Caenorhabditis elegans: one gene and its partner. The protein of the gene in region 2 interacts with the protein of the main gene of each other region in a pairwise test. Each region holds a gene or a part of one and is shown on either strand. Other genes may lie near its edges.

Region 1 (13,012 bases), on a different chromosome or scaffold from region 2:
CACTTCAATCAGTTGATCTTTCACTTTCAATCGTTTCGAGTTGTTATTATCGCTAGAGGGTTTTGGTGGAGGTGGTGGTGGTGGTGCTTCGCATGGCGTGATGGCTGGTGTGAGAGGAGTTGGTTGGACGACTAACTGGATTGGGGTCTTGGCAAGATTGTCCAGTGCCGCGTTTCTCTCCTTTTGGGTTTCTGGAATTGGAGTAAATGAGATTGTTGAAACAAAACCCAGAAGTTATTGGGCCCGTGGGATGTTGGCGGCTGATTGGAGTTCCGATTTCGGATTTTTCCCTGTGATTTTACGAAAAAAAAAACCGCGCTTATTTTTTGGTATTTTACACGCCACGCAGTGTATCATAATACAACTCTTTTAAAATGGGAAATTTTTCTATTTAGAGTCAAAAAGTGGCGCTAACACAGTTTCTACCAGTTCAAAAGACTAAAAACTAAGATTTTACATCATTTTTTTGCAAGTTTTATTATGATATTTAGTCAGCTGGGTTACTGTAATTTTAAGGTAGGACTACTGTATTTACCTGGCTTTGTATCCTCACTATACGTAGCAGTCGTCTCTTTATCTTCTCTGGATTGGGTGTCCTCTGGTTGTAAATCACCTTCCGAACTTTTTGATCGCATTTGTTGTTTGTTAAAAACTATTAAATGAATGAATTTCTTATCGATTTTATCGATTTCAATCAATAAGTTGGCTTTTTTGTATCACGTGAACTTTTATTTAATTTAAATTTTATTTCAGAATGAGCGAACAAGCAACTTACAAGTTTTACAAGCACTTTACAAGTTCATACATGTTTGAATAACAATATAAACTCAAAGCATCAACAACCACCGTTCAAAATTTGTCTGAAAGTCCAGTTTCAGCTGCCAATTGTGCTTTATTCAAAATTCCAAAAAAATTATTTTCTTCAAAACTAAACACCCAATTTTTTAAACTTCACCAGTATATTCATTCATGTTTGAATAACAATACGGCCGACTCAACGCAGTGCAAATGAAATCGTGGGCGGAGCTTAGTAACCGCGGAGTGTCGTTGCGTCGTTGTTTATTTTTGTGCGATCGTATTTTTTTTTAGAATATTGACTGATTATGCAGTTTGTCAAAAATTTTGATGTTTTTTTTTCTAAAATTTTCGATTTTTCTGAAAGATTTATTAAATCATCCAGCTTTCGAGGAGAGGGATCTACATAAAGGACTCAAAAATATGTTGGGGCACTTGGAACTACTGGCAAGAGAATCTGATTTATTATCATATTGCAACAAAAGAAAACCGAATGACAAAATGAATAACGTCATGAAAATAAAATAAAATATCAATCGAAGAATCTTTAATAACCAGGTGGAGTTCTTGGCGGTGGGCAATGATCGCATCCTCCCTTCTCACCAGCAGAGCCATCGGGTCCTGGAGCTCCCGGTTGCCCAGGTTTTCCATATGGTCCCGGATTACCTTGATCTCCCGGAGCACCCTTCTCTCCACCGGCTCCGTCCTTTCCACGTGGCCCTGGTGGTCCCGGTGGTCCTTGTGGACCCATTTCTCCTTGTCGTCCTGGTGGTCCAGGTGGCGCCTCTCCGGCGATCGTCTTTCCGTGATCTCCGGTTTCTCCAGGACGTCCTGGATATCCGGGTGGTCCTGGTGGTCCAGCTCTAGAAAGTTAACATAATTTAATGGAGAAAAATGAAAATGAAAATTATCGATTTTTTTCCTAAAATGATTGATTTTTTACCGAAAACTATCGATTCTTTAGTTCCACTTACGGTCCAGCATTTCCTTTCGGTCCGGCGCTTCCCGGGGTGCCTGGCTCTCCAGATTCTCCAGGGTAGCCTCGAGATCCTTTGTCTCCGGGCGCTCCAGTTGGTCCAGGCGGTCCTGGTGGGCATTCACGTGTGCATGCTTCAACTGCATCAGATGGTCCCTCTTGATAACCTCCGTCGGCTGGTCCTTGTGGTACCTGACCGTCTTTTCCATCGGTTCCAGGTGCACCGTCTTTTCCGTCCGTTCCGTCGACCCCGTCTGTAAAATTAAACCAATACACCACAATTGCCTCGCAAATCTAAAAACCTACCATCACCCGGTGGTCCCGGTGGACCCCGTCTACACTCGGCATGTGGTGCTCCACCGCCTCCGCCAGCGGCCTCGGCGTATTGCTGTCGTCGATTTCTGCTTGATCGGTCTGGAATATACTGTCCGAAGAGCCATGTGCCTTTAACCGCTCGCTTGGTTCGGGCCACGAGCTCCTCGTCCCGGCCGCGGCTCCGAGCCATCTTCATTGTTTCTGTCCAGAGGTCACGGTTTCGAGCCTGTAAGTTTTTCGATGCACCATGTTTTTTTTTATTTCATATTTTCCACAAATTGTTCGTGTTCAAAAAAATCGATAATTTTCAATTTTTTTTTAATATTTAATCGATGCGCCATGCTGCAAAATTTTACAAAAATCGATAAGTTCCTGAAATTTCAAATCTGGTGTGTTGAGTCCGCAGAGGCAATGCAGTGATTTTACGCGCAAGTTTAGTTTTTTGCCAATTTGCACGTCAAATTCTATATATTTTTGTGTATACATTTTCCTTGGTGATAAAAATTGGAAAAAAGTAACCTTCGAAAACAGAACATTTAGCGTAGGGATAACATCGATGCGCCATGACAGGTTTGCGGTTTTTTTTTAAGGTTTTGAGTTTGAGTTGACTAAAAAATTGCGAAGAGTAGGAATTTTTGGAATGTATGTCAAAATCTCAAACGATTGAAAATAAATTTCGAAAAACTTTTTTTTTATTTGAATATTTCCAAATCAAAATTTCTAAATTTTTTAAAAAAATTACCTGACAAAAATGGGCATCGTTAAGCAAATTTGAGTGAATTCTCTGAATTGCCTGATAGGCAATTGGTGTTAACACCACAATCGCCAGAATACAGGAGGTGGAGAGGGCGACGGCGGAAAACGCGTTGCGGCGGAATCTGCCGACTTCCAAGTCATCTTCCTCGATTAGGGACTTCATTTCTTCGGAAAGACTACTCTTTCTGCCAGTTTTTTGGATAGTTTTATACCAAGTTCTACCAGTTTTCCATTAAGATCAAAATCTAAGCGTAGAGAATTCCTTGAGCGAAAGTGTTGAGCTGACCGTAATCGGAAATTGGAATCTTTGTTTCCGTTTTGTCTCGTATTAAATAACTGGTCGGATTCGACAATTAAAAAAGTTTTATTAGTTTAAAACTTTGGGGAAAAGGGAAACAGGAGACTTTGTGCGTCAATTTTTCAAAAAATTTTTGAAAATTTCTGAAATGTTTTTTTTTTTTTAATTTTTTGATTTTTATTTAACGCAAATATTACGTGGCCACAAAATTCTGAGAATGCGTATTGCACAACATATTTGACGCGCAAAATATCTCGCAGCGAAAACTACAGTAATTCTTTAAATGACTACTGTAGCGTTTGTGTCGATTTACGGAAATCATTTATTAATCGGTAAAAATATTAAAATAAAACACAATAATGTCAGAAAAACTGAAGAAAATGGAAAAAAAATCAAGCCCGTAAATCGACACAAGCGCTACTGTAGTCATTTAAAGAATTACTGTAGTTTTCGCTACGAGATATTTTGCGCGTCAATTATGTTGCACAATACGCATTCTCAGAATTTTCTGTTCCCGTAATATTTAAATCAAAAAATCAAATTTCGCTCCATTTTCCACGAAAAGCAAGTGTGATGTATTGGCTCCGCGTACTCAATGCACCCTATTTGACGCGCAAATTTTCAAAACGAATTTTTTGCGCGTCAAATGTGATGTATTTGTGATTTGACATTCAGTCTAAACTTCACGTGTATTCAGCTCGACCAACGCCTCGAAAATTTTCAAAAAAGGCGGGAAAAAATATTTGAATTCGCCAAGAGGAATTTCACCGCAGCGCGTGCAAAAATGTCTGCATTTGCGCGTGAACTTTGAAGTCTCTATGGACTCAATGCACCATATATGACGCGCAAATAAATTTCGAGGAATTCTGAAAAATCGACAATGAAAAATCAATAATCTTCAAGAACCAATTTATCGAATTTTTCACATAATTTCGTCATTTTCCTTTTTTTTCTCCTCCTTTTTCTCTTCCTTCTTATCCTTCTTGCTTTCATCTTTTTTCTCGTCCTTCTTTTCGTCAGCCGCCGGCTTTTCCTTTGGAGCAATTTCACTTTCGCATTTCTGAAAAATCGATATATTAGAAAATTCAGAAAACTCGCAAATCTAGATCTCAATAATTTTAGAAAAAATCAATTATTTCATAGAAAATCGATAAAACACTCAAATCGCCGTGAGACCCACCAAATTTTTCGGCGGATTCGGCAACTGAATACCATTCTTCATTTCGTCTTCCTTCTCACTTTCAGGCAGCACTTCAGCAAGTTTCGTGTCCTGGACCACTGGTTTCGGAGGACTTTTCGGCTTAGTCGGGGCGTCTGGTGCTCCCGGAGCTTCTTCTTTTTTCATCTCCTTCTCTTTAGTCTTCAGCGGGTCCGTAGAGGTCGACGGTGGAACCAGTGAGTTCACTTTCGACGCCTCTTTCACATTTTTGTTCGCTTTTTTCTTTTTCCCACCGCACAACAAAATTGGGAGAAGAAATAGAAGAGGAACAAGTATCATTTGAAATTCTGACTGGTTTTTCTGGAAAATTTCGGAAATTTGCGCGTAAAGTCTGTTGTTTTGTAGGTTCACGATCTATTTCGCAATAAACACATCATTTTATTCTAGAATTCGCTTTATTTAATTAAAATTCAATTCAAACTCAATTCAAGCTCAAACCTCAATTAAAACTCTGCGCGTCAAATATGATGCATCTGCGCAAAATCGCTCCGAGTCCCAAACAAGAACTGCAAAAAAATTACCTGGGCAACCAAGACTGAACAAGTTCGAAAATTAGGGAATACATTTTTTATGCCCATATTGTAATACCCTTTAATTGTCACGTAAGAAATTTTTTGTTTTGAAATTTTTTTAAAATTAGAATATAAATTTTATTCGAGCATAGGTTAAAATCTACGAAGCAAAATCATATTACATTAAACAAATTAGCATTTTCCACGAAATTCAATCCTCCGACGTGGTGCACCAATCCGACCAGAATTCCTCTTTCATGCGCGTCACAAATGTCATCTGAAACCACATGCCCTAATTATAGAATTTTTCAAATCTCGTGGCCTAGAAAACTCAAGGCCACCCACCAAATTTGGAGTTCGGTCCTTCATGAATTGTTTTACGCGGGCCTCGTTCTGCAGTGGTGTATATTTGAATTGAGCCAGCACGGCGAACGCCTTGCAGTCGAGCTGAAAGGCCGAGTTTTGGCCGAGTTTTTTGGCTGCCACCTACCCAAGACGGTTCATTGACATCGAAAAAGTATTTATTCGAGGCCAAAAGTGAGGCCAATGCCTCCAACATTGCTTCAGTTCGGCAGGCGACCTCCTTTCTCGCCGATTTTCCGGATATTCCGTAGCCTCGCACTCGGCGGCGTGTCTGAAATGAAAATTTCGGAAAATTTAGATCTTGGCACAGTTTGCGCGCTGGAAAGCCAAAAAAATCAATAAAAAATTGTGAAATATCGACTTTCTTGCCTTAAAAATCGATAATCTAGCCAAAAATGGTAAATTTTATAGGAAAATTGATAATTTTTGGTGATTTTGGCCTAATATATCGATTTTGCTTCTGAAAAACCAGAATTTTATCGATTGTTTCAACAAAAAACTACTAATTTACAGATTTTCCGAGGAAAAAAAAATCGATTTTTGATCAATTTTTTCAGTAAAAAATCAATATTTTATCGATTTTTCCATAAAATATCAATAATCTACCCGTTTCTGCATCTGCGGTACAATCCAATTCCTCCAAAAATAGAGCTGAACAAGCCCGAAGTCTTCGATAATCTTACGATCATCGCGGAGCCACGTGAAATCTTGGCCTCGCGAGTAGGCGAGCATCCAAGTAAGCTCGTCGAGCAAAGCGCTCAATGCGAGAGCCTGTGCTCGCTCTTTTGGAGTCAGGCCCGAGTCCAGAGACTGGAAGAATATTTAAGCTTTTTCTAAAATTCTAGTTTTAAGCCAACTTTTCCATATTTGGCGAGCAGATAATCAAGTCCTTCCATCAAATTTTTGAAGAAATACCCATCGACATCAATCAATGGGTATAGGTGCTCACGAGGGAGTACATTGTAGAGAGAACATTGCGTTGTCTGGATTTAAATCTGGACTATGTTTATTAACCTAAATGCTCTCACTTCATAGGGAATTAGCTTGCTCCGAAGAAAAGTTTCTAGAAATAAACAGGATGGAGCATAGTAGGGAACAGTGACTGTTCTCGGGAGAGTAGTCAGCAAAGCGGTTTTACGATTCATCTGAATGATGAGACGCTTCATGAAATGCGAGATGAGTCGAGCCAAGACGATCACGTTTCATGATTATTTATGCACATAATTAAACAACGTCAAACAATAACGATTTATCCGGAAGGAAGGTATGAACAACAAACAAGTTAGACCATTTTTCGGAGAAGGTTGTTGATTTGATCTTCTCTGTTTCCGAAGTCTCCTCCTTCAACGAAGTGGTTGGTCTTCTTGGTCCATCCTCCAGTTGGGTTGTTGAGCTTGAAGGGCCACAAGAAGTTGGTGGCCTCCTTGAAGTGTGGTCCGACGGTGGCGATCTCGTGGGCCAAATCCTCAAGACAGATGATGTTGAACTTTCCTGAAAACAATTAAATAAGAATTAAAAAGCATAAGTTTTCAAATTACCGAGGCTCTGCTCGACGATGGTGTTGTCGGTGATTGGGACACGGTTTCCGTCAACCTTGGCGTATCCGCGCTTGTAGAGGAGATCGTGGATGGTCTTGTTGTTTGGATAACCCCAAGCTACGTATGGCTCGATGATACGGAGAAGTGGAAGAGTAGCCTTGTTCAGCTTGACGAACACTCCGTTGTTGATCTGACGAAGACGGAGGATCTGGAGAGCCTGAAAACAAAGAATGGTTATTAAAAAACTCATTAACACAATTTCACCTTTCTTGGCTTTGGATGAAGCTGGTTGATACCGCGAATTCTGACGACGAAGGCGACCTTGTGCTCAGCTGGAACGTAGAAGTCTCCCTTGGCCTCAGCCTCGCGCTTGAGTCTGAGTCCTTCCTTTTGGGCGTTTCTGTACTCCTGGACGTATTTCTCAGCACGCTTGAAGTATTGGGTCTTCTTCTCCTTGTTCTTCTGTAAAAAATTTTATTTTTAATGCAGGATTAGTTCAAATTAATTTTCAAACACCTAAAAGAAAATTTAAACTTTAAAATTTCGAATTGTCATCGTGTTATTGAGACGCATTCTGAATTGAATACACCTCACCCAAAAACAAGATAATTCTTATAGCTCAGTTTTGACGGCTGGCTTGGATAATAGTGGATCCTAAAACCAGTGCTTTTGAAGAGCATTTTCTGTTTTCTGACAGTTAAATAAACTTACAGCGGCGACGGTCACCTTGTGTTGAGCAGCCTTGGTGCGGGCATCGGCTCTCTGCTTTCTGCGCTTGAGCACAGTTTCTGGAACCTGTGGCACTTTCTTTCTGAAAAACCAAGAATTAATATCAAAATTGAAGTATTTGAAAGTCAGGCCTAAAAGTAAATTTCAATCTAATATAAATTTATAAAGAAAACTTACGTTGGAGCCATTATAGGCGATTGATTACCTGGAAAATCAAAATATTAATCAGAAAAGAAAATTATAAGATATTGAAACAGAGGAGCAAGTTTTCAAAACTAAATTATTTCAGTATTTTTCGAATGTTCAGCATTTTCTTCACGAAAACTATAAAAAACGCGTATCAGAATTACGGGAAATTAGTTCTAAAATTTATTCTGATGAAAATTTAAGAAAATCAATGAAAAATGCTCTGAAAAAACGGAAAAATTCGTTAGGCCAAAAAGAAAAAAATGTAAAATTGAGATTCCGTTGCGCCGCTGCGAAAGGGGTACGGTAGTTGTCGTGCCGAGACCCGAGGAGGCTTGCGCTGCGGCTAGCGTCGCGTACCCTCAGACCGACGTGGCTGCGCCGGTGCGCCTGACCTGTTTTACGTTCGATTTTATGGGTTTCACACGCATTTCGCGTTCGGAAAAGCTTATTCTGGATGTTCACAGCCATAAAACTAATTATTTTTTTCAATTTTTAGCTGAAATTATCAAAAAAGAACACCCAGAGAAAGCTTTCCCTTGTTAAAAATATCCTGTTCAACTATTTCGAAATCGTGTCGACAAACAAAGTTCGGCCGCTCACCTTCCCTTTTTCGGGTATGATAAGCCTCAAATACTCTTTCATAACACACTTCTATATACATTTTCACATTTTTCTTCTGACTAACCACCCTCATATATTGATAAAATTCAATATAAAACTCCCAACTCCATATACTTTGAATCATTCTTAAATCAAGTTCACTTATATTTTTTCAATCCCCGTCGAGATAGACAACCGGTTCCTGACTCCGCGTTTGTGTCGGGAACAGAACATAAAAATATTCTCCGCCGATAAAACAGTGTCTCGTTCTTTTAATATCGATTTTACAACAAAACATTGCGCCCGGCTGATGAATCATGTGACCAATGCCCTTTTTCTTTTTTACAATCGTCCCAATATATACACAACTTTCAAACAAGCTTTATCATTTTACAGCTCAGCAGTAAAGATGGGCTCTCGTGACGATGAATACGACTACTTGTTCAAGGGTAATTTTGTTTTTCATTTTTCAATTCCCAAACGAAAAATTGTTTCAGTTGTTCTGATTGGAGACTCAGGCGTCGGAAAGTCGAATCTCCTGTCTCGTTTCACAAGAAATGAGTTCAACTTGGAATCAAAATCAACAATCGGAGTCGAGTTTGCCACGAGAAGCATCTCGGTGAGGAACTTCATTAGAATACACTTATGATTCAAATTATTATTTTTGTAGGTAGAAGGCAAGACAGTGAAGGCTCAAATTTGGGATACTGCTGGACAGGAACGTTACCGTGCCATCACATCCGCTTACTATCGTGGGGCTGTCGGAGCTCTCCTAGTCTACGACATCGCTAAGCATGTGACGTACGAGAATGTTGAGCGATGGTTGAAGGAGCTTCGTGATCACGCCGATCAGAACATTGTGATTATGTTGGTCGGAAACAAGAGCGACTTGCGCCATTTGCGTGCAGTTCCAACAGACGAGGCCAAGATCTACGCCGAAAGAAATCAATTGTCGTTTATTGGTAAGTTAAACTAATCTATTGCGTTTATATATTTTTTTTTTTCAGAAACATCTGCCCTCGACAGCACCAACGTTGAAGCAGCTTTCACTAATATCCTGACGGAAATCTACAAATCAGTATCCAACAAGCATGTAGGAACTGACAGACAAGGATATGGCGGTGGCAGTGGTACAATCATTCCTTCGCCAGCGTCCGACCCACCAAAGAAGCAGTGTTGCATCCCATAAATCACATCGTGTTTTTTTTTTTCAGTCTAACGTGTGTATTTTTCGAAATGCCTTGTCCATTTAATTTACTGCCCCCGAAATCCAAATGATTCGCTCTTAACATCCGCGAGTTTTATCGAATTCTTGCAAGCACTGCGTTTGCAAGTCTTCACCGTTTTGGTGTGTAGTATTTGTAACTTTCTTTCAGATTTATTTGTAATTGCCTCCATCCCCACCCCTTCCCCCTCCCCCCCCTCCGAACCTATACATTCGTCCCTTTTTCTTCAGAAGATTGTGATCTGAGTTGAGTGGTGCTGCTTTCTTACCATTTATCCGACTCAAGATTGTATGCCAACTTCAGCGACGTATTTTGAATATTTTTTCTTCACCCTTATTCAATATTATTCTGGCCCACCCCCACCCAATGTGTATATTACCTAAACTATTTTGGTTATTCGTAATGTGTGTCTCTTGTAGAACTCGATACCGAGAAACCCTCGCCAAGAAAGCAACGAAGACATATGCACATTGTTTTTAATCGAGTTTTATTTATTTCGCAATTTTTTTCCAAATAGTCATTTTCCATGAATAAATAAATATATCTAATTGATCTCCTATTTTGTGAAACATTTTCACTAAACGCTTGTACCAAATCACGTCCAGTTTTTTTATTTTGAATTCAAAATGAAAATCCGCATTTTCGCGCCGAGACCACTACAGTAACCTAAGGCCTAAAAATGTGCATTTTTGCGTGTTATTCTATGCATTGTCCGTACAGCGTTTCCATTTGAATTTTTTGAAGTTTTCCGATAAAAAAAAAGAAAAACTCCAAAAAAAAATTTCCCATTGAAAAATGTCGAAAAAAGAGACGCAGAGAAAGCGCTGCAAGACCCCACATCTGTGTGTTTGTCCTTCCTCAATCCTCCGGCTCTCTCGTCGCCTCGCCGTCTCTTTCAAATTCTCCATCTCTCCTCCCGTCTCTCTTAGTTGTTCTGGTGTATGCTTGCGTGCGTGCGTTGCGGACTACAAATCAGGACTTTTTCAAATTTATTTTAATGCTTGTTTAATTTTTAATTTTCCACCCCGTTAATTATTCTTATTTTCAATTATTAAATTGCAGAAAAATGTCCGAGAATCCTGAAAATTCGGGAGAATTGGCAGAAAATCAGGAAGAAGTTGATCAAGAGCTTGTGCAAAATCCAACAGAGCCCCAGCAAAATCCAGAGCCGGCCGAAGAGCCCCAGCAAAATCCAGAGCCTGCCGCAGAGCCCCAGGATCCAGCCACAAAATCTCGTCCACGTCGAAATGCTCGGAAATCCGTGCTCTACAACAATGAAGACTACGAGTTGGGCATCCCAAAGGAAGAAGCGCTCGCCTCTGCATCAACAAGCTCGATCGCAGCTCCAAAACGCTCCAGGACGGAGGAAAGTACGGTTCGAAACGCGAAAAAGAGAAAGCCAGCGCCACATTTGGAGGAGCTCACCGCCGGAGAGCTCGGAGAGCCCATCTTCGCCGGCGACGACTCGATGCTCCACGCAGAGACGGAGGTCATCGTAGAGGATGAGCCGCCAATTCTGAACCTTTCCCGATATCGAGACGAGGATCGCATACAAATGGACCCGTTCGGTGATGATGAGGAGGAGGACGACGGGTTTATGGATGGGCAACCACCGGATTTGGAAATGAATTTGTGGGGGATTTTTTATTTAAAAAATCTTTAAAATCGAAATTTTCCAGGCCCAGCAAACAGCGACGTGTCCGAACACGCAAGCCAATGGATACCGATGGGTCTATCGACGATGGGGATAAGGAGAAGAAGGCGATGAAAATTATAAATCCGGCGGCGGCGACACCGTCGAAAATGTTCCGAGTTCAAGGAGAACGAGTTATCAGTAAAGCTCTTGCTGAAAGGCAGTACCACGTGAAATTGGTAGGGGCTTACATGGAAAAGCTTCAAAGTTTTATGGGAATTCTTCGGAAAATGTTCGAAATAACTAGAAAGACTAAAAAATGTGCCCAAAAAACCAATTTTGTAATGAGAATTGTCTCCAAAAATGGGCTCCAGTTTCGCTTCAAGTTCTTTTTTTTCTGTTTTTGTCTTATTTACCTAATTTTAATAGCTTTTTTCACGTGTTTTTAGTCATCTGGAGTGCATTTAATGCCTATTTGGCCAAATTTGGCTCAAAATATTCAAAATCAACGGTTAGTTTTAGCTGAAGTCTCCAATTTCCCGTGCCGTAGGGGTCGTAAATTTATGATTTTTTATTCGATTATTACTTAAAATTTGCCTTTGAGCCGCCATAAAAAGGGCGTTTTTTGAGCCTACGGGAGAAAAAAAAACCTTCAAATTTTAATCAAAATCCTTCAGAAAATGCCGAAAAATCAATTTTTCAGTTAAAAATCATAAAAATCATCGAGAAAGTCGGATTTTATCGTTTTTTTTTTTCAATTCTATAATTTTTGCAGTTCGAAGATGAAGTTGAAATGACGGAAAACGGTGATTGCTACGCCACAGTGATATCAGGCTGCCTGGCCTACCTTCTCAGAAAGGAACGAATAATTGAGCTGCTCACCAACGAGACCGAAATTGCAATGATGTACGGAGACAGTGAAAAAAGGAGAAAATTTCAGCAATTTTATTGTGAAAATTGGAATTTATATCAAAAATCAGGCAGAAATAGCCAGAAAAAGTCATTTTTCGCACTGGAAATTAGCAATTTTCAGTGATAAATCTAAATATCTTGTTTTGAAAAAAAAAAATTTTTTTCGAAAAAATACATTTTTCGCCAGAACCACAAAAAATTGAACTATTTTTTACTATAGTTTTTAGAGAAAAAAAAATATAAGAAAAAAATATCTTCTAAAAATAAAGAAAATTGTCAAAATTTCAAGCTATTGTCCGAAAAATCGGTCAGAAAAAAAAAACAAAAATCAACGGTCCCCATTTTTAGTCGCGAAGGAGGTTGGCTTCTCGACAAACCACCCCGTCTCCCACCACTTGTTCCACACAAAGCCTGTTTCGCATTCTACGTGGACGGCTCCAAAATCATGTCGATAAAAGACGTCTCGAATGACGATCTGAAGCCATGGAGCTCTACTGGCGGCGAGCAACACTTCAACGATCCAGTCATCAAACCGAATGTCCGACGTCATCCGGTTGCTCGTCTCAACGGACGGCTCCAATCGGTCAAAGGAGATCCACGTATCGCCGAACTTCATCTCACCGAGTACAGCGCGTGGCTGCCGAGACTGTTAAGATTGAGAAAAAAGGTTTATTATCAGTTTCAGAAAATTTGAATATTCAAAAAAAAGTTGTTTTTTTTTAAATATTTTTTTTAGGTCATAGTGGCCATAATGGCTTTTTGATATCTTATTTCACGTTTTTTAAATGTTTAAGGTTAATTTTAAGCCTATGGGCCAAAAATGCTCCAAAATGAACTGAAAAAGGTACAATAATCAAATAAAAATACATTTTCCGCCGTTATGCCCATTTTTTCGAAATTTTAGAAAAAAATTGGTTTTTATTCTCGATATTTTGAGCCAACGTAAAAATT
Region 2 (17,273 bases):
TGGTCTAACTTTGGAAATTCATCTAATGGTCTAACTTTGGAAATTCATCTAATGGTCTAACTTTGGGAATTCATCTAATGGTCTAACTTTGGAAATTCATCTAATGGTCTAACTTTGGGAATTCATCTAATGGTCTAACTTTGGGAATTCATCTAATGGTCTAACTTTGGGAATTCATCTAATGGTCTAACTTTGGGAATTCATCTAATGGTCTAACTTTGGAATTCATCTAATGGTCTAACTTTGGGAATTCATCTAATGGTCTAACTTTGGGAATTCATCTAATGGTCTAATTTTGGAAATTCATCTAATGGTCTAATTTTGGTGGAATTCATCTAATGGTCTAACTTTGGGAATTCATCTAATGGTCTAACTTTGGAATTTCATCTAATGGTCTAACTTTGGAATTTCATCTAATGGTCTAACTTTGGAAATTCATCTAATGGTCTAACTTTGGAAATTCATCTAATGTTCTAACTTTGGGAATTCATCTAATGTTCTAACTTTGGGAATTCATCTAATGGTCTAACTTTGGGAATTCATCTAATGGTCTAACTTTGGAATTTCATCTAATGGTCTAACTTTGGAATTTCATCTAATGGTCTAACTTTGGAAATTCATCTAATGTTCTAACTTTGGGAATTCATCTAATGGTCTAACTTTGGAATTTCATCTAATGGTCTAACTTTGGGAATTCATCTAATGGTCTAATTTTGGAATTTCATCTAATGGTCTAACTTTGGAAATTCATCTAATGGTCTAATTTTGGAATTTCATCTAATGGTCTAACTTTGTTGTCGTCATGGCATTTCCATAGATATCCGTTCTTTTTTCATGTTTCTCTTCTCATTCCCCTCCAGAAAAAAACGTTTTTAAACTTCAACATTTTCCACATGCGCTGTGAATTTTCCGTCAGTTTAGAGCCAAAAATGTTGTTCCAAATGAAATTAAATTATTCGAAAAAAGCTATTCGTCATAAAGTTGCTTACCTGATGACGTTGTTTGGTATTGCCGTCTTCATAACTGCATGTTTAATCAAATTTGCAGTAGATGTTGTATTCTTCATGGCTACTGTAGATTTGCGATATGCTCATTATTATATTTACGGTAAGGGCAGTAATATCTAAAATCTAAACTTATAAATGTTGTTTTTAATTAATGAACATTTTTCACGAACATGTCTCAACTGTTTTTCAATTTGGCAAACTCCTGTTACTTTGAAACAAAATTTCTTGTTTTCAACTTTTGTAACACCTTTTTTCAAATTTTTTGGTCGTATACATAGCCGAACCAGTTCTTGTATCTGATTGATAACTAGGTGTTGAATTGGATTTTATATTCTCAAACTAAACTTCGAAATTTTAAAATTTAAGAACCGTATTTGCCATATTAGGCAGTTGGTACCTTGGTTCTATTGCCCTAGTAGACAAAATACGGTATAATAAACTAACCATTTCTTGCGTAGTTATAATTTTTAGGTGGAATAATCTACCTGATCTTCTCGATTGTCTTGATCTTCCACGTCTCCAAATGTGTCGTTGAGCACACAATAGAATCATTCGACAAGATTCAAGAAATCAAGGATGAGGAGTTGAAATTGAATGAAAATGCATTAATGGAAACGGTTTGATAAGGGTCTCTGCGTTAATTATCCGTTAATTATCCGTTAATTATCCGTTAATTATCCGTTAATTATCCGTTAATTATCCGTTAATTATCCGTTAATTATCCGTTAATTATCCGTTAATTATCCGTTAATTATCCGTTAATTATCCGAATATGGTCAGAATAAATCATATGATCTGTTAATTCAAATATCCGGGACGTAATGGGGTCGCTTTCCTTCTGCATACCTTCCTGTTGACAGCATGTCTGCTCGTCTATCTCGTGCCTCCCTACAGGATTTCTTTATGCTTACCCGTCTAGTCGCCTACCGCGTGTCTACCTATGTGCCTACATACCCACCTACTCGCCCACGGTTGCCTGCCTGCCCACTTCACGTCTAAACTTTTTCATGAATTACTATTTGAAAAGTATCCTTTTTTAGTTTGAAACGTGTTGCCCACTTGTAAAATTTACGGGGAAATTTTCTTTTTAATTACACGTTCCAAATTGCACAGTTCATATCACTCTCGAAAGTGATTTATTTCACAATATTGTCGCAACAAAATGGCGGAAAAATCGCGAACTCCCGTCTCAAGTCGAGCAACTTCAAGTGGAGTGGAAACTGCTCACGAAGCTCGATCTAAAGCAAGATCAGGGAAGAAGGATCGGGTCGTGGCAATGTCTCCAATGAATCGACAACGCAAAAATAAGTCGCATGTATTAAATGAAAAGGATGAGCGTCCAGGTGGTATTATTAAAGAGTTAGTTTAATTTTTTAATAATTCTTAAATTAATGAACATTTTATAGAAAATCAAGCGTTCGTTCAATGGCAAAAACTCAACCACCATCAGGTCGAACTATTTCTCTTACTGAGATTAATAAGCCAAATGCTCTGTCAAAAAAGAATACTGAAATCAAAGCAGCAGTTGAGATTCAGAATCGATTGACGAAGAAAATGGCGAAAAACTCTGAGAGAAGAAAACAAATGGCACATGGACCGGAGATGACTGCACAAAATCGAACACAGGAGAGAATTGATTTTGTTGATTTCCTCGATCGACATTATCAAGTAATTCAAGCCGGGGTAAGTACGGGGAAAGTGGGATTTCATTTTGAAATTTGAATTTTCTCCAAAATGAGTACATCTGACCGATCCGTGTTTAGCGCCGCCCATTTTTAAACCAATCAACGAGGGTGGCCGGAGAAAATCGTTAATTGGCCAAAACTTTTGGAGGGAATTTAAATATTTTTGACTGACCATTTTTCACGAATTATTTTTTCAGGTTCACAAAATTCAATACACAAAGGAGGAATTTGAGAATGTGATCTACGAGGCTCAAACCATCTTCTCATCGGAAAAAGCTCTTGTTGACATCGATCCACCATGTGTCGTAGTTGGAGATCTTCATGGACAATTCAACGATCTTATCAACATGTTCATTCTATTGGGACGTCCTCCTGAGACAGTTTATGTTTTCACTGGTGATTATGTTGATCGAGGAATGATGAGTCTAGAGTGTATAATGCTCTTGTTCACCTATAAGATCTGCTATCCCGAGAATATTGTGCTGCTCCGTGGAAATCATGAAATTGCAAGAGTCAATAAGAAATATGGATTCTATGAAGAATGCGTGACTTCGATTCCAAAGTGTGGAGAGGAGATTTGGGCTTTGTTCCAGGTATGTGTTCTCATTCTAGACGTTCTGTATTTAAAAATATTTCAGCGTTGTTTCAACAATCTTCCAATCTCCGCTTTGATCGCTACAAAGATTCTATGCATGCATGGTGGATTGTCTCCTGCTCTGACATGTCTTGATGTTAGTTAACAGAAGTCGTTTTTTCCTAAAAATTCCATTTCAGGAACTTCGCAATCACCCGAAACCAATTCGCAACCCATTCCGTGGAATTGTGAATGACATGCTCTGGGCTGATCCGGATCCATCTGTTTTTGAATGGAAGGCAAGTTCCCGTGGATCTGGTTTCACCTTCGGAACAAATGTGATTGATGACGTTTGTAAACGTCTTGGTGTCGAGCTTATCATCCGTGCTCACCAAATGTGTTTCGATGGTTATTGGGTATTGAGTGGACGGAAGCTTATCACCATCTTCTCTGCTCCAATGTACTGCAACTTCTACAAGAACGCTGGATGTGTGTTGAAAGTTGACGAGACGTTGGGCATTCAGATGATCGCATTTGTTCCAGCATCGGAGAATATCGAGAAGATCATTGAAGAGAAGAATCGTGTCTGGGATATTTCTATTGATTGTATTGATTAATACTTGGAATAAAGTTATTGAATTATTTGAATAAATTACAATTTATTAAGTTCTCAAGAAATCACAAATTATAAATCACGAACAAAACGGAAGAAGAATATCACAAAAGTACATAGCACCACATATACACATGATAAGTAGGTTGTTCAGAGGGGAATAAATATGAAAGAGGAAGGAGAAAGAAACGGATGGGATGGAAGATGAATGAAGATGACCAAAAATACAGACAAAGTTGTTTTTGATAACAAAAGAAAATTAAATTGAGAAACTCTATACATTCGATGGCCTAGAATTGTGAGGATCGTTTCCATTGGCATTTTGGTCGGCTAATACATCTTCATTTGAGTCGTTCAGCGGGTTGGAGAATGATTGAAAACTGAAAAACCAGAGGGATTATTTATCAATTTTCAAATTATCTCGTTCAGTTAATAGAGTATCGAAAATTTTTAGTAGATTTTAGTCGAAAACTTGCAAAACGAAACAAGCCCTCCTAATACACTTTTAAAATTAAAATTACCGAGTTCCATCTCTTAAGCTGCTCAGCCAATCGCGAGCATTGTCAATGGCATGAAGAGCACGAAGAGCTCTACTCGAGTCGTTGCCAGCCGCTGAAATTAGAGAAACTGAATGTTTTCGAACGAACTGATGAACAACTGCAATATCTAGTTAGTTTTTTGTACGTGCTACTATGCTAACTGTAATCTAGAGACTGTTATTCTATATTTTAATTGTTTTAATGCTTTTGTGATTGTTTTAGTACTGTCAAACCACTACACGACGCTGTTAGTTGCTGCTGTCACAACACCATCACCAAAACTAGCAACCAAGTTTGTTTGGCGTGCATAAATGTAAGAAAAATGAAAAAGTGTGTAGAAAGCCTGAACAGAGAAAGATTCGTGTCACTTCAACAGGCACGCACCGACCCAGATTGAGCAGATTAGACGGTGCGTAGGCGGATCGAGTCGTCGGTGAGCCGAGTTCCGACGGCGGTGGATTCGATTCCACGAAATCGCGAAGACATCCACGTTTTTCGATGGCTCGAAGACCGTCTGAGTAGCGATCCTGGAATGAATGAGATATAATTATTAACTTTTACCGTTTTGTTATTTCTTAAATTTAAAAATTCATTAACATGGTTAATATTATGGAGGCGCGTAAAAAATTCCCCGCCCTGACCAGACCGTAAATTCAGTAGAAATTTGAAAAAAATTTCGTTATTTTTTTTATTTTTTTCAGTTTTTCAAGTCGAAATTATGTTTTTTTTTTAAATAAATGCATGTGAAGTTGAAAAGTGATTGATGCGCACTTGCACCTAAATTTCAAAAGTCAAATTTTCTGCAAACCTATAATACGTATGTCAAAAAGGGTGGGTTCTCATTTCTTTGAGCCAATTTCGAGTTTCACTAGTTACAGAATGATGAATTCTCAAAAAAAAAAAATAATTTGAGACTGGTGGTGTCTATGCTTTCTCTTTCAGACCTCGGCAAGACAAAAACTAAATCATTGGTTACACCGAAATCTGACATTTGACTAGTCTCCTTGTCTTCTGACATAGAATTTCATTTTTAGCTGCGAGTAAGCACTTGATCATCTTTCATTTTTCGCCGCAATAATTAAAAATAGATGGATGGGCAAGGAAAATGAAGAGCTATTGCTTTCTTGTTGTTTTCATTTTTCCAATTTTCATCAACACTCAAACAGCATCCCATTGGCGTGGTCTATTGCTCTTTCTTCAGTTGTTTTTTCGAGCTTTTTGTTCTCATTTTCATGTTCATTTGCTCTGTTCATTATTACCTTGACGACTTCATATGCATCCATGATAATTGCAATGAACAGTGATAATACTACATAGATAAAGAGTGACACGAATAGGTAGATGTACACTGTCCCAAATACCTGAAATATTTAAGATAATCTAGAAAAAAAAAAGAAAAATCTTTACCTTGATAACTGTATTGGAATCATTAATAGTGTAAAACGTGGCGAACATATCGTCACCGTTGAGAAGCGAAAATAGAGCTTCCGATGATTCTGCCAGTGTACGGAACTTCATACTGTACGGGCCAATAATAACCCATCCGGCAATCAAGAAACCAGCGTAAAGTACAATGGCACACGTCATGAAGCGCATGATATTGGGTGCCGATCGTTTGAGCGTGAGCATGAGGATCTGGAAAATGGCAAAAATAAACATTTTTCCTTCACTTTTATCGTTTGAAACCAGCAGAAGCTTTTTTAAAAGTTTTTTTAGTATTTTAATCATTCCATTATATTTAGCTTTTCTCTTTGATTGCGGTTATTTTTACTTATAGAGTGATTTTGTTAAATAATTGGCTCAATCTAGAACTGGCTTGTTCTAGATTGTGCCAATTATTTAACATAGGATCTTGCTTTTTAAATTTTATCTGAAAAATTAAAGAACGTAAATTTCAAGAATTTTCCCGAATTTTTATAAAATTAAAATGGTTTTTTTTCTATTTTATATTTTCCTTTTTTCGGAAATTAGCTAGAACTACTCACTACAACATTTAAAAATAATTTTTAATTTTTTTGGAATTTTCAAATTTATATCTTGCGGATAATCGAAGAGCAACTATCAAATTTTTTTTTTGGCAATTATTCTCATTTTTTGAAATTATTTTAATCATGTTTTTCTCACCAACAGCAAAAATTTGAATAAAAATTCGGATTCATTTTTGTAAACTTTCAGAAAAAGATTTTCTCTTAAAAGAAAGAGTTAAGAATATTTAAAAATTCGGTATTGTTGACATCATTTTCTCGTTTCCAATTTTCAAGATACCAGGAAGAAACAAAAGAGGTATGAAAATTGATTTATGTTTTGACATAAGACCCTCTTTATTTTAGTTGTGCCAAGGTTTTAGATACGGCTTTTTGACTTCTCTTTTAAACTTTTCCTTCTCTCAAACGTGATACTTTTGGGGGCACCAGTGAAACAATATCAAATTAAAGAAATATTTAATCTCTGGAGAATTTTCATTTACATTTGCACTTTTCACATCAAATACACTTTGACATCATTCTAGACAATGCGTGATTAATTAACTCAGTTTCTATGAACAACAAAATCTTAATCACGCGTTGTTAGACGTCGTCTAATCAAGTCGAAGTTTTCCAGTTCGAAGCTTTCAATATATATATATACATACGCCAATCCTTAATTTTGTAATGTTTGTAGTATGCTTTAGCTTGTTAATGTAAATGGATCCTTCCATCTACTCCCCTTAATTTCCCCAATTTTCACAAGTTTAAAACTTGTTGTTTGCAGGGCAACATTCTATTGGTCGGTGGTCTTTTCAATTAAATTTGAAGACCATTGAGCTCTTTTCCTTTTTCTTTGTCTTCTTCATTTCGAACAATTTTTTCGAATGAGTTCCATTTTCTCGCATGGAAACGAAACAGTAGTTTCAGTATCTGATGGTGAAATTAGAAATGTGGCATATGCGTTTGATTATAGGTAAGTTTATTTGAACATATTTTAAACGTAAATTAAGCAAAAAATTTCACGAAAATAAGGAGCTTAATCGAATTCTGGACATTCATCCGCTTTTTTTTTATTATATACCAGCAAAAATTTCAACATTTCGCGCCTAAAATGTAATCGAGATTTCCAGACAACCTCTACTTCTAATTCATCTACTCTACACTGTTCCATCATTTATAGCATATCATAAATGCCGCACGTTTTTGACGAAGGAAAGCGTCACTAGCAGCTATTTCAATGTGATTTTCACAAATGATTTCTATATTGTAAGTACATAGACCTTTCGGATAAAAAGTGTAAACTTTTTCAGAATGTTGCACTTTTTATAATCGACTTTCTATTTACACGTCTTCCAATTTCTGGTCTTTTTGAAAATCTTCCTTCATACATCCCAGAAGGAATACCTATGACTATAATCTACTTTCTCTCGTATTACTTGATCTATGTGAACTTTTATTCAATAACATTAATATGCATCAATCGAATGACTTCTGTACTTTTCCCGTATTACTGTAATTCGGTGAGCCTTCCCATCCGAAAAATATGAATCTCCTAAAAAATTAAAGTTTTGGCAAAAGAACGTCCGCAGTGCAATCGCACTTGTCTACATTCTTCCATTAATTACTACATGGCACTTAGTCACCTATGACGCTTATTTCTTACCACTATACGAAAATCGATCCAATTATCAAATGGTATACAGAGTGAAACTGTTGATAGGATTTTTGGTATGGTTTCCACCAAACACAAAATATGAAAATCAATAAAATTACAGCCTAGAAACAGTACGGCGCTGTGTTTTGTGTCGATTCTTCTCGCCGTAATATGTGTTGCAGCGAATTTCACAACAATTGTTAAGTACAAAACGACAATTCAAACAGTAAAAACGGCTAGTGGTACTCAGAACGAAGTTAGTTTGAATAATATTATATTAGAAGCATAATCAATTTTAAGTTTCATCGAAAAAGAACACGACGAGTAGAAATTGCAATGTTTTCTATAGCGTTAGTGGTATGTTTTTCACTGGTACTGCAGGCTTTATTACAGGTAAGGAAATAATGAATTATTGGAGTATTTACTTTTTTAAAAATTTTTTATAGGCTCTGATAATGATCTACACTGGTACTTCGTCATTCATTCGTGAAACATGTCAAGATCTACGTGCATTCGCACTGGATATTTCCATATGTTGCCCACCTTGGATAATGTATTACACTACAGTACACTCGCATAAGACTACAATAACAAGTAATTCCATATCCGGAGTTGGTATTCCAACACGATCAAATGTTGTTGTAATGAAATAAAGCAATTTGAAACAACTCACATTATATTGACTGAAAAATCCAAAATATCGAAGAACTCCGACATATACCAGCAAAGCTCCCATTCCGAGGAAAATCGAAGTTAGCGTGAAGAGGGAATTGTCGAAATCCTGAAAAGAAAGCAATAATCTTAGTTTTATGCAAGAATTAATGGAAAATAATTTTCTAATCAATACAGAGGGGCAATTTGGTTTCGATAAATCCCGGGATGAAAAGTTGATGGAAACAATGGGACGGACAGATACAGAAAGGAAGTTATTGGAAATATAAATTTTTACTCACATTTCTTGTAGTAAAAGTATTTTTGTTGAACTAAATTTAATATATTTTATGTTTGAGTATTGGAGGGAATTTTTCATTTGAATTAAACTTAAATTTTTATAAAAATTACCTGAAACTCGATGGATATTTTTGCAACAGTTCCAATGATAATAAGCGCATCGTTGACCACAATCATCACATACCACAAATTCAGAAAATCGAGTTGATCGGTAACGGTGATCTTATTTTTGAGTACATTCTCAAAATAGTCGCTTGTTTTGATTTGAAGTAGATGGGCTTTGATGAGGGCTCGGCAGCAGAGAATCAGTGATAGAATGCAAAGAATGAGAACGAAAATATCGGTTCCGCCGATTAAAAGTGTGTCAAATGACCATCCAACACCTGAAACTTGACCTAACTCGAGATTGATTGAATTTTTATATTTTGATATTTTAATATTACAAAATTCATTTTTATTTAAACACAGAAGTACACCTAGAAGTTAAATATTTCAAGTTAATTGGGAAATTTTTGAATACCTAAAATCTAAATGTTACTCTCAAGAAGAACTTTTTTAGGCAAATAAAGTTATGTAGATTTTAACACGAAGTTTCAGAAAGACTTTTATAAAAGATTTGAAGTTATATTTAATAGCATCCCATTTGATGATTCTTCACCATTAATTATTGGAATTCTATGTTAATTGGGTAATTTTCGATTACATAATCTATAATTTTTACTAGCTTTACTTTGAAAATTTGAAAAAAGTGAAGTGTTCACCTTTGATGATCCTTCCATTACAAACATTCACATAAGAAACCACAGTTGATAGAGTGACATGAACCTGTCCTGTATGCCTTGAATTATCAAATTTGATAGAAACTGATATCTTATAGCATTCTGGTTTCTGATCTCCGGCTGTTGGTGAATAATGAATTGTTCGTAGTCGAAATTTGAATTGGACCGTCGATATCTTGAGCGCGTCTTCTGGGAGAAATGTGATTCCACGAGTGGCGAGAATATCTCGAACAGCATCATCGGATTGTCCGATTTGGAAGACTTCCGTTTCTGTTAGATTCAGACGTTTCGTGTCTAGAAATAAACTATTTTTATTTCATAATAGTATGTTTATATACCTTTCACTTCACGAATGTCGAAATTATAAGTGTTATTGTTCACTGTTACGTTGGAAATTCGATCGATAAGAACTTCAATAGGTGGAATAGATTCAAAACTAATTTGAGCGCCAAGATTTCCAGATGGATGACTTACAACGTCATAGGAAAATGAAGCAAATGAATCATTGCGAATTGAATAATACTGAAACAATATTGATCATTTTACAAGATAGTTCTCCAAAGCGACTTACAGAATTAATCAAAAAGCTCAAATGCTCGGATAATCCTTGATCATCATAAACCGAATATCTTCCTTCAGCTGGTGGATATTGTAATGCATCTCTGTCGTCATTCCATTCTTTTAAAAATCGATGTCTCATAACTGTTGTGGTGTCTTCGAGAAAATCAACATGAGACATGCGCATTTCCGCGAATAAAATTAATTGCATGGTAACGAAAACTATTTTGAGCACTTGTAGAACCAACTTATAGGGCAGTTGATGTCTGACTTTCCATTTCTCCATTGGATTCATAAAAAAGAATTGGAGATGACGGCGAAGACGTTCGCCGGTTTCTCTTTCGTGGTGCGGAAGATCTTCCATTATTTCTTGAAAATTTATTGTTGGCCTTCGAGAAGCATTTGAAGAAGCATTCGAAGCATTATCGTTGAAGTCTGAACGATCAGTTGTGCTCCGGCGAGACATCTGAAATCATGAAATATTAAATAACGTTGTATTAATGAAAAATTGATTTCGATGCGAGTGGCGGTTAATATAAGCGTACAAAATATGAATTCTAATTTTTAAAAAATATATATTTTTATGATTAACATGCTATTTATAAAAAACAAAAACAAATAATTGTTTGAACAATTAAAAAATAATTTTCCGAGACCAACGCCCGCGTAAATCCTACTAGTGAGGTACACCGCGCGGTGTCTTTGCGTACCATGCACAATATCTGACGCCGGTCAATCTTATGGTATTTATTTTCTCTTTAAAAAACGAAGAACTAAAAAGAAATACTCACCTAAAGTCCAAAATTATCAGAAATTATCGTTATCAGTCAATCAAAAATTGGTTAAGACCATGCAAACATGCAATTTTGCAGTTTTCAACCCTTAAAACAATACATTTATTATCTCACCGATTCGAGGGGAATTTGCTCTAACCGCATCGATCTCGAAGCTTGGCTTCTGAATATTCTACTCATCTTTCAAGAAAGCTTAGAGGTGTTATTTAGAGCCGATGTAAATGGCGAACATGGGATAGATAAAAGAGCATTTGAGAGAGAGAAGCGCAGGGAAGCTAGAGACACGTCAATTTGTTTTTTTCTGTGTTGGGTTTTTTTTTCCTTCCGTAGATAAATAGCGGTTGGAATCTATACAAAATTGAGCATGACTTTTGAAAGGTGCACACAAAGAAAATAAAAAGCGTAGTACTTTCAGTAAAGAGAAATTGGAAAATTTTTTGAGGGCACATGTACATAGTATTTTGCAATGACGTTAATATGGATAAACTCGGAGAGAATTATAAATTCAGAAATTTGCATAGAATGACGCACATTTTAAAAGTGAAATTGCAGGTTATAAAGTTGTAGTTAAAAAAGTTTGAGTTATTACCCAGTTGCGAAAGATTTCAATTTATTACAAAAATTTCGGGCTGGTTCACAGCGCGAACATTTTCAAATCGTAGCCGCCGCAAAAAAGGTATGCACCTTTAACAACCACAGTAAACCATTGAAATTTTTCTTTGAATTTTTAGTCATATTCATATTCTGTCGTATAATTTTATCTGTTTCTTTTTAGATACAAATAGTGAGAAAAGGAAGAGCACAACTAACAAACGGGCAATGGATTACTGTCGTTTTTTGAAGGCGCAGTGAGACAGTAGGTACCGTTTTTGAAAGTTTACAGAAGGCAACGTTTGACAACTACTTCAATTTTTGTTCTTTTTTTTTGGTCGTACCCCAAATATCGAAAAAAGTCTCTGCAATTTTTAAATTTCCTGTGATTTCAATAAAATATTAAATTCTGAATTTCTATTTATTGAACTTCGATATCAAAATTCCTCTTGCCACACACAAATTTTTAAAATCTAATACGTTTCCATGTCTGCAACTATCGAAAACACCTCCACAATATTCAGTTCATCATCATTTTTTGTTTGGTTGACTGGCTTCCGATCGCTCTTTTCCTTTTTTGTTCTTTTCCCACGCCTTCTTTTTCTTCATCTCTGGCGTACTCTCTCGATGTCAAATTTTTGTTAAAGTGAAAGTTTTTGGCAACTATAGTTTTTACAACATATTCATTCATTTGTAGTTTTGATATTTTTTTATTTATTTTTGTTTCTAATAAATTTTTCATCCGTGAAAAAACTCGGTTAATCGAAACATTTCTTGAAAATTCAGAAAAATGGAATTCATGAAACTCGCAATCGAAGAAGCCAAGAAAGGAATGGAGAAGGGAGACGGTGGACCATTTGGAGCTGTAATTGTCAAGGATGGGAAGGTAATCGGTAGTGGGCATAACATGGTTTTAGTCACCAAGGATCCAACAGCACACGCCGAAGTTACAGCCATCAGAAATACTTGTAAGAATGTCGGTAAGTATTCCTTTCGTTTTTAACTTTAGTAAAGGAAACAAAATTAGTTTCTTGAATCCAAAATTTCGAAAATAATTTATAATTTTTTACAATTGTTTTTTATTTAGTAAATTCCTTACAAGATATCACTGTTTGGACATCACTTACTGCTTTGATCTTCAGTGTTTGGTTTTTGACTTTTTTGATTGCCTATAATTTGGTTCACTGTACTTTTTAATTTAATTTAGGTAAGAAGTTACTTCCTGGATTCCATGCAAGCCTTTACTGAAATACTAATTATTAGGGGTTTTGTGAGAATTTGAGATCTGCTAAAAGATCAGAAGCGTCTTAATTTATTTTCCCTATTTATCCTATCTACTGTTATATAATTATATTCAAATTGGCCATATATCTATTATTTATCCAGACAACTTTGATCTATCCGGTTGTCAACTCTACACTTCCTGCTATCCATGTCCAATGTGTATGGGAGCTGCTCTCTGGTCTCGTGTCGATGCAATTTACTACGGTGCCACGTCACAAGACGCCGCGAATATCGGATTTGGAGATCATGAGTTCCATGAGTTCCTTCAAAACCCAAAATCGGATGATAAACGAAAGTTGGAACAATTCAAGGTGGACAACTACTTAGAGCCATTCCAACTTTGGTCAAAGAAGGATAACAAAGAACTTTATTAAATATAAACAAATTCTCTGGTTTTTGTCATTTGTTGGTTGCAAAAAAGTAATGCATTATAAATAAACGTATAGGAGTGTGAGCATATGGGAGCAGCAAATATGAATAATTGATTACAGGAAAAAAGACGAAGGTTGGGAGAATGTAGATGACGTTTGTATTTGAAGGTTTTAATTGACTTGTAATTTGCTTATCAAAAACTAAAATTTATACAAAAATGTAAATATCTAGTTACTTTTACTAGGCCTTTCAAATAAAAACAGAATCTTGGAAAAAGTTTGCAATGTCCCATAACATCTTGCATATAAGACTAATAGAGTAAATACGGTATTTCAAATTTGGAAAGCATGAGTTCGAATAGATAATTTTAAATCGTAAGAAAATAATGTTTTCAGAAAATTTTGTAGAGCACTTTTCTTCCATTATTGTTGCACCGCATTGCTCAACTCTTTTTTAAACTTTTCTTCAATTTAAGCAAAAGTTATTTTTCTTTGCCGCGTTTTTCTAGTGGATACGATGGATCATATACCTTTTTTATTTTGTTTTCAGGGTTCACATCGGGAACATATTCTCAAATACCCTGATCACAATTTATGTTTTGGTCTCGGACCCGTCACCCAAGTCATCATCTCTATTTCCTCGTGTTTTTGTTTGAATTGTGACAAGTGAAGTGTTGGGTCTTCTTGCATTTAAACATCAACGAGCATTGAATGAATTGGTGATGATGACGATGTCTGGATTATTATACCAAAATGTCAGATTAATCATGATTGCTTTGACCTATGGGTTACCATTTTATTTGGTTCCAATTTTACTGCCTGCTTGTCTAGTTCTTACACAAAAATTTGGTTCCGTTTTTAGTTAAGCGTTAAACTATTTAATTGAAACTGAAAAAAGGCAATCCGTAAATCGAATTTCATAAATTCCAAAGCTCGGAGTAGACGCCAAAATACCGAGGCTGGGTAGGCGGTAGATAGGTACGCCTAGCAAAACGCCTACCTACTACAGAAGCCGCATAAAAGGACAAAATGGAATAACTGGCTATAGAAAATTTTGCTCACTAAGTAGTCCCTCAAATTCCTAGAAATATTGAAACTTCTTGAATGAGTAATCTATGACAATCTAGCCCTCTTCTCTTACTCCCCAATTTTATCCTCTCCGGAAAAAAAGGAAAAAAGAACGAAAAAATCCACAAAAAAGGACGTCTTCTTTTTCTTTTTTTTTCTTTCATTTTTTCTCCTGTTTCTTCTTTGCTTCGTTTCTCTATTCCTCCATCGGAAAACTGAGAAGATGTCAGTAGGGAGCTTGGGACGAGGAAGGGTTTGAGCACAGAAAAGCTCTTTTCTACGTCTCCACTCTTTTTAACGGGAGGAGACGTTGTCGGGGGCTTGAAGAGAGAGATAGAGAGCACATACACATGCACACACTCCCAACAACTTCTCTTTTCTTTTCTCTACTCCGTCTTTTTTTGCTTTATATAGATTTGCGGTTGACGGGGAGAAGTGTGTACCTTTATCGACTTTTTTGAATTTTTTTTCTCTGTAATTCGGATTTAATTCTACTTTCAAATCCAGGTTTCTTCGTTTGACATCTTCATAGTAAATAACTAAAGATCTGAGAAACCAGCTTGTTAAAAGGACTGGGAAAATATTGACAGAAAATGCAACTATCACATTTCAACGGATTCATTTCTGTTTTAGAATTGAATTTTTATGCTTTGAGCTTTAGCGAAAATTTTTAAATTTTCAACCACGAACTGGAAATCAATTATTTTTCCTGTGAAAGTATTTGCCAAATTTTTAACTTGTATAATATTAAAAATTAAAATTTTGATAGATCCCTATTGTTTCAAGTTTTCAAAATAGCATGAGGTCCCCACCGAAAACATTAACAGCAAACCTTCTAAATACTTGTTTCAAAATACTCCTGTCAACTGGTCCAACAAGTTTCTCGGACGAAATTCTCAACAATCCTCTGCCATTTTTTCCCAGTTTTACGATACTCTATAACCTACTCGTGAACTTATTTTCCAGGTAATATTCTCTTTTATTTCTCTCTATACCATCAATTTAGCTTCAACAATTTTTCGAAAAAGCTTATTCCTCTATTAAAGTTGAATCCAATTACTCAAGTTTCCCCATATTCCACATATCTTCTTCCTTTGAAAACGTCATTTTCCCCTAGGAATTCTCAACATCCAGTATCGGTTTTGTTTACTCTAATTGGAAAATAAAAACTTGCAGAACTCTGAACTTTTCTATTCATGAATTATTCTCCAAGACGCCGTTTAGCTTTTTTTTAGTTCCGGAGAACACGGATTTGTTATTCATTCGTGTTCAAATACTTCAAAAAAAATTTCAAAATTTTTTTTCAAATTTACTTCACCAGTTTCAGTCAGGTGGAATTTTTCCCTGAAGCCACAAACACCAATAACAACAATTATGATTTTTACGTATAAAGATTATATCTAAACAATAATATATACTTTAAAATTTCGAAATCTTTATTCTTAGAAGCTGTGCTCTTTTTCGGCTACTCCGCACACGTCTATAATTACATGACTTGTATGTGTGTGTTTGCTCCGCGAGCATTTCTCCATTTCCCCTCGCCATTTTTTCTTTCCTTTCGTTCAACGGTTGTCTTCTGAATAAGAGTGACGTCAGAAGACATCAATGATTTCGAAATTTTTTGCCATTTTTCAGGTATGGAGAACCATGTTGGTGAGAGGACGGTGAATATATTTGGGAAGGTGTTCCCGAGGGATGCATTCATATGTCGTCTTTTTTATTTATCATTTTTCGCCAGTTTCGGAAGTTTGTTCCCACTTCTAGCAGTTTATTTCAAGCAGTTGGGAATGACAGCGGCCCAGGTAAGAGACTTGTTTCAATGCTTTTGCGGTGGGTACTGCCTCCAGTCTTTTAGATCAGCCTACCGCCTTTTTAGCTTTCAAGTTTTTGTTATACACAGTCTGCCAAAAGTATTTTGTTTGGTTTCTTGATGATTTTTCAGCCGCTCCAACTATATTCAGAGTGGAGTTGATAACAAATTAACACTACCCAAAATGTAGAAAAAGCAATTCTCAATATCTTGCCTGTTAAAAGTTTTCTTCACAACTGATTGGGTTTTAACTTATGCTTATTTCAAACATTTTGAAATATTACCACAAAATCAAAAACACATACATGTTTTGTCAACACTGTAGTAATAATCCTCAACTAAAAATTTTAAAACTTCAATGATCTGTAACTTTCCAGGCTGGCTTCCTCATCGGCTCAAGACCCATCGTGGAGTTCCTTTCTGGACCATTTTGGAGCCAATTTGCCAGTCGTTTCAGGTAGGTGTTTGGTCTCAAAAAGTGTCGTCACATGAAACCTAATAGGTATTTTCCTCCTACTCTCCTTTTCGTCATTTTACGACACTTTTTGTTTTTTTCTGCAACATACGTCTAATTTGGGGATCGTTGAAATCAATGAAAGTTTTTATAATTTCAGAAAGCAAAAGCTTCTGCTTTTGTTCTCATTGGGATCCCTAGTGCTCTTCACTTTGGGAATTGGACTAGTTCAACCAGTAACTCCGTATTGTATAGTCTACGTGCCAGGTTGGTTTTTTAATGCGAAAATAATCACAACAAAGAAAAATTGCAGAAGGCAATAAAACATGCCAAACTATGTTAGCCCCGGCTGGAAAAATCATTCGAGGTGGAGCTCTTGGAATGCTCAAAGAGACACTTGTTGGTGGATCAACTAGACCTGCCAGGCAGAGGAGGCAAACTCAGAGTCGTAAGATTAATTCAGAGATAAGATTCAAAATAAATTATTTTAATTTCAGCGCTCGTGGAAAAAATTATCGATTTGAGCTCATTTGATAGTGAAGAAGATACAGTTGCTGGAATTGCACCGGAGTAT

The links.
Region 1: the proteins of cup-5 (region 2) and F53G12.8 interact in a two-hybrid assay, tested with the Caenorhabditis elegans proteins (one large-scale study listed by BioGRID).

Annotation. Positions count from the first base shown.
Region 1 is NC_003279.8:105,732-118,743, reverse strand, and holds F53G12.8 (uncharacterized protein), read right to left. Parts: upstream 4,938-13,012; coding exon 4,881-4,937; intron 4,660-4,880; coding exon 4,321-4,659; intron 4,201-4,320; coding exon 4,063-4,200; 3' UTR 4,036-4,062; downstream 1-4,035. Other genes in the region: Spermatocyte protein spe-8, read right to left, coding at 1-191, 536-635; col-45 (Nematode cuticle collagen N-terminal domain-containing protein), read right to left, coding at 1,343-1,658, 1,770-2,025, 2,078-2,312, 2,829-3,005; F53G12.9 (GST_C_6 domain-containing protein), read right to left, coding at 5,083-5,148, 5,217-5,318, 5,362-5,505, 5,841-6,044, 6,092-6,217, 6,263-6,379; rpl-7 (Large ribosomal subunit protein uL30), read right to left, coding at 6,517-6,725, 6,773-6,989, 7,037-7,234, 7,484-7,583, 7,679-7,689; Ras-related protein rab-11.1, read left to right, coding at 8,700-8,739, 8,788-8,909, 8,961-9,252, 9,298-9,479; Y48G1C.8 (DUF7747 domain-containing protein), read left to right, coding at 10,583-11,148, 11,196-11,388, 11,925-12,055, 12,410-12,728.
Region 2 is NC_003281.10:7,578,209-7,595,481, reverse strand, and holds cup-5 (Polycystin cation channel PKD1/PKD2 domain-containing protein), read right to left. Parts: upstream 10,800-17,273; 5' UTR 10,794-10,799; coding exon 10,341-10,793; intron 10,292-10,340; coding exon 10,108-10,291; intron 10,064-10,107; coding exon 9,752-10,063; intron 9,386-9,751; coding exon 9,102-9,385; intron 9,023-9,101; coding exon of another isoform or gene 8,993-9,022; intron 8,821-8,992; coding exon 8,713-8,820; exon of another isoform or gene 8,693-8,712; coding exon of another isoform or gene 8,486-8,692; intron 8,433-8,485; coding exon of another isoform or gene 8,340-8,432; intron 8,296-8,339; coding exon of another isoform or gene 8,161-8,295; intron 8,114-8,160; coding exon of another isoform or gene 7,952-8,113; intron 7,906-7,951; coding exon of another isoform or gene 7,696-7,905; intron 7,652-7,695; coding exon of another isoform or gene 7,516-7,651; intron 7,359-7,515; coding exon of another isoform or gene 7,270-7,358; exon of another isoform or gene 7,168-7,269; intron 6,054-7,167; coding exon 5,826-6,053; intron 5,780-5,825; coding exon 5,678-5,779; intron 4,946-5,677; coding exon 4,807-4,945; coding exon of another isoform or gene 4,700-4,806; exon of another isoform or gene 4,492-4,699; coding exon 4,401-4,491; intron 4,260-4,400; coding exon 4,154-4,259; 3' UTR 3,901-4,153; and 1 more. Other genes in the region: Y80D4G.2 (DUF3955 domain-containing protein), read left to right, coding at 930-1,107, 1,479-1,630; R13A5.11 (Serine/threonine-protein phosphatase), read left to right, coding at 2,170-2,366, 2,414-2,690, 2,890-3,285, 3,331-3,423, 3,467-3,883; R13A5.15 (Serpentine receptor class gamma), read left to right, coding at 7,270-7,358, 7,516-7,651, 7,696-7,905, 7,952-8,113, 8,161-8,295, 8,340-8,432, 8,486-8,692; gda-2 (CMP/dCMP-type deaminase domain-containing protein), read left to right, coding at 12,503-12,692, 13,099-13,370; mfsd-6 (Major facilitator superfamily associated domain-containing protein), read left to right, coding at 16,073-16,237, 16,623-16,702, 16,860-16,966, 17,013-17,147, 17,197-17,273.